Linked DNA regions of Oryza sativa Japonica Group. Each later gene encodes a partner of the first gene's protein in a complex. Links are inferred from orthologs where the notes say so. Each region holds a gene or a part of one and is shown on either strand. Other genes may lie near its edges. The genes, in order: COP9 signalosome complex subunit 7 and COP9 signalosome complex subunit 8.

Region 1 (4,536 bases):
ATCAAGCGAACGCACTCCATCAGCTGCAGGTAGCCATCATGTGGAGGAAGAAGTAGCACCAGCCCCTGCCATCCCTGTAAGTGCCTCTTTTGAATCCACAAATCATATCGGCTATCATGTTACTTCTACTAATCAGTAACCTCAATATTCCCCTTTTTCATGTTCTAGCCGATATGTTTTCTTTTGACATCAGGTAGTTTATGGATGAAGAGGAAGAAACTACAAGTAAAGCCTTGGTGCCTCTAGCCGATAATGTGAAAACAACCTTGCTGGATATCTCAAAGTGGCTTGAAGGCTCCCTAGAAACTCTGGTGGTCAGTTGTGGATCAATCAGAGATAGATTCCTTGTAATCTACGACCAACTCCCAGATGAACTAGCCGATGTTATCACCCCAGCGGCATACCTCGAACAGCATCAGCTCAAGCTTGAAAAGGCTAAACAAAGGGTTGCTGATCGCCGTGAAAGAAAAGATCTTGAGGCCACCATCCAGGCTAGTAGGACTTCTATTAATGAAGAAAAGGCAAAACTTGATGAGTTGGAAGCTGGTCCAAGGTCCACTCAAGCCAACATAGATCGGCTGAATACTCGGAAGATAGAACTCCTAGCCGAATTGGAGCAGTGCAATGCACATATTGCTATTGAAGAACATAAACTTGCCGATCTGCCCAAAGCTACTGAGGATCAGAGATCATAGCTCAAATCTTCTGTCAAACATCTAGCTGATCTAATCAAGTCCCTGAAAGTAATTCTTGGATCTGATGCAGTCGATACCCAGATCATTGATGAGGTAGAACAGATTAGGCAACGAATTATATCGGCTATCCAAAAATATGTATGTGGATGAGCTAAACATGTAACATGTGAATGTATTTAGTTTGTTACCAAACATTGTTAATGCCTAGAGAATTTTGACAACAACATATTTAGTCTATCGCTCTATCCTATCAAAATTTAGTAATATTGTCAACTTGACAAAATTTTGGTATTGCTAAAATTTGAAAAATGTTTATTTTGGCAGTATAATACTCTCTCCATCTACTTTTGATAGTTATATTTTCAAATTTGAAAAATTTATTTTTGATAGGCATATTTCAATCCAACAACTTATCATCTTAATGACTTTCTCAGATTTAATGCATGACTCTCCATTCTTCCACACAAGATTGGTTGCATGGGCATCGAGAAATGTAAATATTAATGAATCGCTTGTTTACGAGAAATGACTAGTAGCATGTTTAAATGGATGATAAGTAGAATTATTTATCCTTGATCTGTGTGTCAAGATAAAATATGACTATCAAAAGCAGATGGAGGAGGAGTAATAAGAAGGCTAAAAAAAAATTGGTGTCTAAACGGGGAAGATGCATTCTTAATGGCAGCAATCCCCCACGTCGACACGCAGCCCAAGCGACCGTGGCCCTCCAGGCCCCGACTCCCGAGCACGAGTATGCGGCAACGAGCCGGACACCAGCACCACCCACCACCGTGGAGCCCAACCGAACCCGAAACCCACTCTCCCCACTACAATCCCACAAAACACAGAGAATATCACCGAGGCGAACGAAACCGAAAAGAAAGCGAAACCCCGATCCCCCAAACCCTAGCGCGTACTAGCCCCCCGGGCAAATCGCCGGCGGCGATGGCGATGGACGCGGAGCGGCGGCAGGCGGAGCTGATCGAGCAGTTCTCCGCGCAGGCGGCCGCCCTCTCCTCGTCGGCGCCGCAGCTGGCGGCGCTCGTGCTCGAGGCCACCTCCCACCCGGCCCTCTTCGCCTTCTCCGAGCTCCTCTCCCTCCCCGCCCTCTCCAAGGTATAAGGGACCCCCCGCCTCTCGCTCCGCCTGCGCCCCGCCGCGCCGCGCGTGTTTAGGGTTAGGGTTTTGGGGGTGGACCACCTCTCCTCCCCCCTCTGATTTCGATCTAATGTCAGTTCGTTGATGCAGCTCACTGGAACGCAGTATGCGTCGTCTCTGGACGTGCTCCGCCTCTTCGCCTATGGGACATTGAAGGACTACAAGAGTAAGATCACCCCCTCCCGTTGCGATTCGTACATTACATTGCCCTTATGTATGTGTTGTCATGCGTCATATGTGTATGCTTATTTGGTGCGTGAGTCTAGTGCATTGTCTTGTTGTTGTGTGTTAGGGGTACGCCCTATGAAATAGCCGCTTACCATGGACGCGATTGGCATGTGAGGGCCATAGCCCATATGTTTAATGGTTAACAATAGTGCTGATTTGTGTTAATGTTAATTCACACTTTTTTTTTGTGTTATATTGTTATAGGTTAATTTTTTGATGGGATTCACATACTAATTAATCATAATTCATCTTTGTCTTATGGTTTATATTCTGCAACAATATGTGGATAGAATTATCACATTTCTGTGCTTGAAATCATAATTTGAGCTGTGACAATCAATTTGCCTTTTCACCCACCAATATGATCAGTGTGTGTCAGGCTGTGGTTGCTAGAATTTTGTTGTTTCCTCTCTCATCGGCATGTCATTAAAACGGTCTGCAGTTTGTGGTATTCTCTGTTTATAGTAATATCAGATAAGTGCAGAACATGAACATTTACTGTTTCATTAATTGTTTTTAATTTTCATACATGTAGGTAATTCTGGCAATCTCCCTGCATTGTTACCTGATCAAGTCCGGAAGCTGAAGCAACTCAGCGTGCTAACTTTGGCTGAGTCAACCAAGGTGCAAATTTAGGCTGATACTGTCTAATATGCTATGCATTTTTTTTTTTGCTTATCCTGTGTACATAAAGTTACTAAGGGAGCGTTTAGATCCTTGGCAATGGGGATTTTAGCCTTGCATAGCAAGGGGAGTTATCATTTGGTAGTAAAAGAAAACAAATCTAACTTTCTCTGTCAATCTAGCTTAACAATTGTCAGAAAAAACTTGCTGTCAAAGGAGAGAAAAAATGGCCCCATCTTCATCGACAAGCATGTGAGCATGAACTGTTGATGGCACCAAATATCGTGCCTCGCTGCCTTGCTTATGTGGGCCATAGATGAAATGAGCAGGTTTATGCCAGGCTGAGCAAAGATAATTTAAGATCCAAATGTATCCTCACAGTTGTTTCATCAAATAATAGCTGGTCTGCATGTTTATTATCTAGGTTTTTCATTCTTCTTTCTTTACGTATGATGGGAAATAGTTCTATGCAGTTATATGTGTTAAGTGATAGTGATTCTCTGAACAGATAACAACCAATGCCAGAAACAAGCTTCTTCCATCCTATTATGTGTGCCCAATTTAGCTTTACACTATCTGTGAATACTATCTTATTCTTTATGTGCATAGCCTGTTTGAGTGTGCACTGGAAGTCAAGTTCATGTAGTATTATCTTTTACCTTAAAACTCTGTTCTATGTTTTTGCTTTAGACAATACTAAATGTGCTTGGTTTTTATTATCATTTCTATTCAGGTGCTACCATATGATCAACTCATGCAAGAATTGGATGTTTCCAATGTAAGAGAACTCGAAGATTTCCTCATCAATGAGTGCATGTACTCGGTGAGAATTTTTTTGCCTTAGGCACTTAAATCTCTATTTTCCATCTTCTAACCTCCCTAACAAAAACCATGTCATTACAAATATATCTTGTGTGGATTATTGCTCTTGTAAGCTCTCTAGCCTTTAGGATCATCGGTTTGTTTCTTGAACTTTTACACCATAGATGCTAGTATTCTAGTCAAATATTAACGTTTAATTGCTTCCCTAGGGTATTGTCAGGGGCAAATTGGATCAGCTGCGGAGGTGTTTTGAGGTCAGATGCTTGTTCTTACAAGTACATTGTTCATGGTTTCATTGTTTAGCTGGCAAATGATCCCCCTAAATTCTGTCTGTACTTGACAGGTACAATTTGCAACTGGAAGGGATCTTACACCTGATCAGCTGAACAATATGATAGATACATTATCTGACTGGTGTGTACCTTTACTTGAGTGATTGTTGCATCCCATCCCTATTTTTTGTTCACAGAAGTTTTAATGTTTGCATTTATATATGGTTCTCCCTCATATCTGATATGACCTTCTGAAAGATACATTGAGGTCATGTGTTATGGGAACTGCGGCTGGGTTATTTTGCTATGTTTATTTGTTCTAGACTCCATGTGTGTTGTCCCTTCAGGCTACTATTGTAGATGGTATGGTTTTGGTTGTTTTTTGTAGTTGGGTGCTGTAGGGATAATGTGAAATTGTGTCTTCTCTTGCCAACCCACTCTGTCTGCCTTTTAACCTTTTTAAGTTTTAATTATACACTATCCATTGTTTTTATTGTCAGTTCATAGCTTTATGTTTTAAATCATATAGAAGTGTTTCCTTGAATTTGTTAAAAGATGAATAACCTCTGAGGTTTTTCATTTAGACAATAGTGTATATGCATCATTTGGTGCTGATATTGTGCTTTTGACATTTCACAAGTAATCAGTTTATATGCTCGTGCTTTGACATTTTTACTCGGTCCATTTTATGTTGAAACATTATGAGGTGCATGTTAACGGGACCAATGGAAGTTTAT
Region 2 (4,380 bases), on another chromosome or scaffold:
GCTGGACTTTAGTGCTCCAGGTGGAAGACGCATTCAGTTAATCGCTGAAGTTTGCTTGCATCGAGCTTCTGGTTAGTCTTAACCTTTGGTTTTACGACAGTAAGCATCCTGGCTGCCGCATCCAAGCTCCAACCGTTTTGCATGGCATCTGTAATGATTATTAAGACAACTATTGTCATCAGCTTCTGAAGCAGGCAAATATCATGCAGAAAGTCAAACACAATAGCATAATAAAATTTGCAGAACTAAAAATGCTTCAAATACAGAGGGATGCTTATTCCAAAAATATTCAATATGTTTTTCAATATGTTTCAAATATAGCAAGTTTTAGTTATAGCCATAGAAAGAGGGATACACGAGCCTTGATGCATTGACCACAAAAAAAAAATAATTTTCAATATGTTACATGAATGACCTACGAAAAATTTTGGTAATTAGAAGGAAGAAGAATGCATTCACTATATTGAAATGGTAAAATGAAGACAACTCTTTTTGAGTGGGTTGTGCCAAAATTTCTACTAATTTTATACTCCACAACAGTACTCAAGCCAACAGAGATAGCCAATTAGATGTGAAATTGTGGATATACCTCATTGTGAACATCAAAATCAATGGGCCAGCATTATCACAATGATCAAAACAAACTAAAATTCATGCACACAAAAGTATGTTTAATTTTGACACAACCGAGTCTCAAAGACAACAAAATATCTGACACTTTATTCAAACCTAGAATGTACAATGCTCAATCCAGGAGAAATGTGGACAACACTGATGGCACAAAATGGAATTCAAGTATTGTATGAAGGAGAGGTTTCTATTTTCTATTGTGAAAGGAAAGTAATGTAATATGCAGTGTTATAATCCAGTCAGTACAATAGAAGTGCTACCCAAAAGAAGTCCATAGGGGCACCATCATTGTTTTAGAGTTTTAGAGTTGGACACGGTTATTAAGAAAGTAGATAGAAGTGAATGGTGGAGGGTTGTAATTGGATGAGTAGTGGAGGTAGGTGGGAAAAGTGAATGGTGGAGGGTTGTGATTGGTTGGAAAGAGAATGTTGGTGGAGAAGTTGTTATATTTTGGGACAAATCCTGAGGGTTAAAAGTTGTTATATTTTGAGACATAGGGAGAAACATTTACCTTCCAAAATTCAAGGAACTTGCAAAAACACATATTGGACGAAAGATTATAATCTATGAAGAAATGCTATGGAAGTTGAAAAGGATGCAGTGTATCCTAAAATTGGGACTTTGGATGATTTCTACAGATAAAGATGACTAAAAACACCATATTAACCATGTCAGAACTTCTATGATCTATACTGTTGATTAACATGAAGATAGTCAGAACATTGTACTTAACATTAAAAAACATAGTACAGCAACAAGATAGTTTCAGAAAATGTACAGTTAGTAGCATCCTCCTCATTCATCCCCATGAAGTGAGCCACATCAGCAACGCTGATTGTGGAATATGCAGAAGTCAACAACTGGAAAATCCTCTTTCTGTAGCTTTCTGTGTAATCAGAAAACAATATTGGATATTCAAGTTAACCAATTATAAATACTAAAAAAAATATAAAACAGCAGGCTTTATACTTATTTCCTAATATAAAAATAATACTAGAAGATTAGTTGGTTAAACAAGCAAAAGGGAAACAATCATGATGTTATTAACTTATTATCCTGATTGACGTATTATTATGGTATATGTCATAGTAAGCACTTCATGGAAAGAACTTAACTTCTCTAGTTCCACTACTGTGTCACAATGACTGCTGGTAAAATGTTAACAATCACCTTATAAAAAAGTGCAAATGTTTAATTATAATGCTATTACATTAATACATTCAACAGTTTCACTCATAAATGATAACTACAAAGTGTTTATTTTGATTGAAGCATGAGTTAATGAACATCCTCTGTGCATCTAGAATTGTTGCATCATGTTGTCAATTAGAAGTAAAAATAGGAACAAAACTGAACTTCTTGGGAACCAAACTCTTATGAGCAGCCTGAAAATAATCAAATCACTAGTCCTTATTAAGGAGATAGTATAAACCCACTGAACAAGGCTATCTTAGGAAGCAAGTATTTCCAAGATAAACACTTTAACCATTACACTACGCAGCACAAAACTCTACTAACGGGCACTCTACTAATAGTAACTTTGCGTATTCATTAAGGAAGCTGATTCAGCCTGATTGTGCAGATAAATCGTTTCCACAATTACTCCATGAAGTATATGTATGCACATCTGAATCTCCCGACTTCCCAACCCACACCACAAAGTGGTGACCTCCAACACAATACTACCACAGTATGCAATTCATTCTAGTAAGCAATACAACTTTGCACAAAGACACAGAATAATTCAACTGTTGCACGTTTCCATCATGAACAGTAAAGCAACAACCAGTACCTAGGAAGGCGGCCACGAAGTCGGCGATTTCAGGGCTCCACTCGAACCCCTGCGCGGCCGCGTAGACGCCCGCGTAATCGCGGTTCCAGAGGCACTGCCCGATCCTCCAGACGGCGGCGAGCTCCGGCCGCGCGTCCTTCGCCTCCTGCGGCGTCGACTTCCACAGAAACCTCGCGCTGTTCCTGCTCACACACGCACCCACCCAGAAACACAAAAACAACATTAATCCCGGAAGCCCTAGCCCAGAAAAATTCCATGGGAGAGAGGTGGGGGAGCAGATCGCGGGGCGTTACAGGTCGTTGAGGTAGAGGTGGGCGAGGAGGTGCACGGCGTAGGGCCAGCCGTCGGTGGCGGCGCCCCGGGACGCGGCCTGCGCGAGGAACACCGAGTCAGGAGCGCTACGCTAACCCTCCTCGCGTCGCGGGAGGCGGGAGAGGGGTGGGGAGGGGAGGGATTGGTACCTGGAGGAAGAGGTCGTCGCAGAGCGGGGCGACGGAGGAGTAGGACTTGCCGGCGAGGGCGGCGTGGACGGCGGCGAGATCCATCGGAGGAGGAGGTGGCGGTGGTGGCCGGCCGCCGGCGGGCCGAGGCGAGGGGAGAAGAGGGGAAGGGTTTTTGGAGTTCGAGTAAAATTCGGAATTTGGGGCAGATTTGGAGAAATTTCAGGAAAGGAAATAAACGGGGGGAAGAAAAAACCCACGTGTAATCGTGTATCTCTCTGGCCCATCTGACATGTCCGGCCCAGGCTGGCCCGCGAGGGATAGGGTTGTTTCTTTCTCCAACATATACTGCAGTTTTTTTTTCTTTTTGAGATTACATGGCAGACTCTAAGAGACGGAAATCAGCCAAACATCTTTTATGTTACTAAAACCCTGCTAAAAGTTCACCTAGATTTGATTTCTTTATGAGATAACATGGCAGACTCTAAGAGATGGAGATCGGTGAAACATCTATTATCTTATTAGGATTTAAACCCTAGTGGATGGAGCCATGCACCCACGACTCCATCACCACCCACTAGTGCTTCCCCAACATGCTGCAAATTTGACTACTATTTGATTCAAATTTGGAAGTAGATTGAATACTACTACTGGTTGGTTTTGTCTATTTAGAGAGAGCGGTGTTTTATTGGTTATGGTAAATCATTACTACAAAGTATCTCCCGAATACACTCCAAGGTTACGTTACGGTGCATAACATCACTAGAATGTTCACAGAAACGAGCTAATAAATGAGTCGCGGCATTCAACATAGATAAACATGATTAAAACTAATAGAGGAGAAACCCACTGCTATGACCTTGATGTCTGCAATCACTATGCCATTTGAAGATTGGTCCATGGATAATGAGTTAACTCTCCGTATGACTGCATTCAGAATTACTAGCGTTTTGAAAACCTTCTTCGCAAGTGAGAGCAACAACGCGGCGTAGAGCCAATGCTTCAGCAAGCTATACTATGGTAACCTCTTTTGTGCGCTCATTGCAAGCCAATAAATCACAGGTGTAGTTTTTTATTACCATGCCCACTCCCATTCGACGTGTTTACTGAAAAGTTGCAGCATCAACATTGATAGCAACAACATCACGGTTTTATTTGAATGAGTTGATTCGAAACAAATTAAATACTATTTGATGGTAGTTTGAATGAGTTGAATAAAAACTGTTACGAAATGAGTAAATTGCACAGAACTATTCGTAACTACAAATTTATGTATATCACAAAATTACAATTTTAACATCAATATTATTATAAAACTACTAGTTTCAAGAGTTTATATTTGGGTTGAGCTACATGCTATGATTGTGTGATAAAATTAGTGTTCAAATTTGTAGATCTACAATATTATGCATTAGACCTGTAGTATTGTGGTAAATTTGATGCTATTGTGATACACCCTCTTAAGTCTGTAGTTTAATGTAAGTTTGGGTAAAATTGTAATACTGTCATAAATTTAGA

The links.
Region 2: COP9 signalosome complex subunit 7 (region 1) and COP9 signalosome complex subunit 8 share a complex: the UniProt entries of both Arabidopsis thaliana proteins name them as parts of the CSN complex. The link is inferred for Oryza sativa Japonica Group from reciprocal best matches to the Arabidopsis thaliana genes FUS5 and COP9.

The regions. Positions count from the first base shown.
Region 1 is NC_089041.1:18,480,262-18,484,797, reverse strand, and holds the start of COP9 signalosome complex subunit 7, read left to right. Parts: upstream 1-1,563; 5' UTR 1,564-1,640; coding exon 1,641-1,811; intron 1,812-1,943; coding exon 1,944-2,019; intron 2,020-2,616; coding exon 2,617-2,705; intron 2,706-3,438; coding exon 3,439-3,528; intron 3,529-3,736; coding exon 3,737-3,781; intron 3,782-3,870; coding exon 3,871-3,941; intron 3,942-4,536. UniProt on the Arabidopsis thaliana protein: Component of the COP9 signalosome complex (CSN), a complex involved in various cellular and developmental processes such as photomorphogenesis and auxin and jasmonate responses.
Region 2 is NC_089038.1:21,626,717-21,631,096, forward strand, and holds the start of COP9 signalosome complex subunit 8, read right to left. Parts: upstream 3,070-4,380; 5' UTR 2,968-3,069; coding exon 2,884-2,967; intron 2,793-2,883; coding exon 2,716-2,792; intron 2,605-2,715; coding exon 2,423-2,604; intron 1,517-2,422; coding exon 1,409-1,516; intron 149-1,408; coding exon 9-148; 3' UTR 1-8. UniProt on the Arabidopsis thaliana protein: Component of the COP9 signalosome complex (CSN), a complex involved in various cellular and developmental processes such as photomorphogenesis and auxin and jasmonate responses.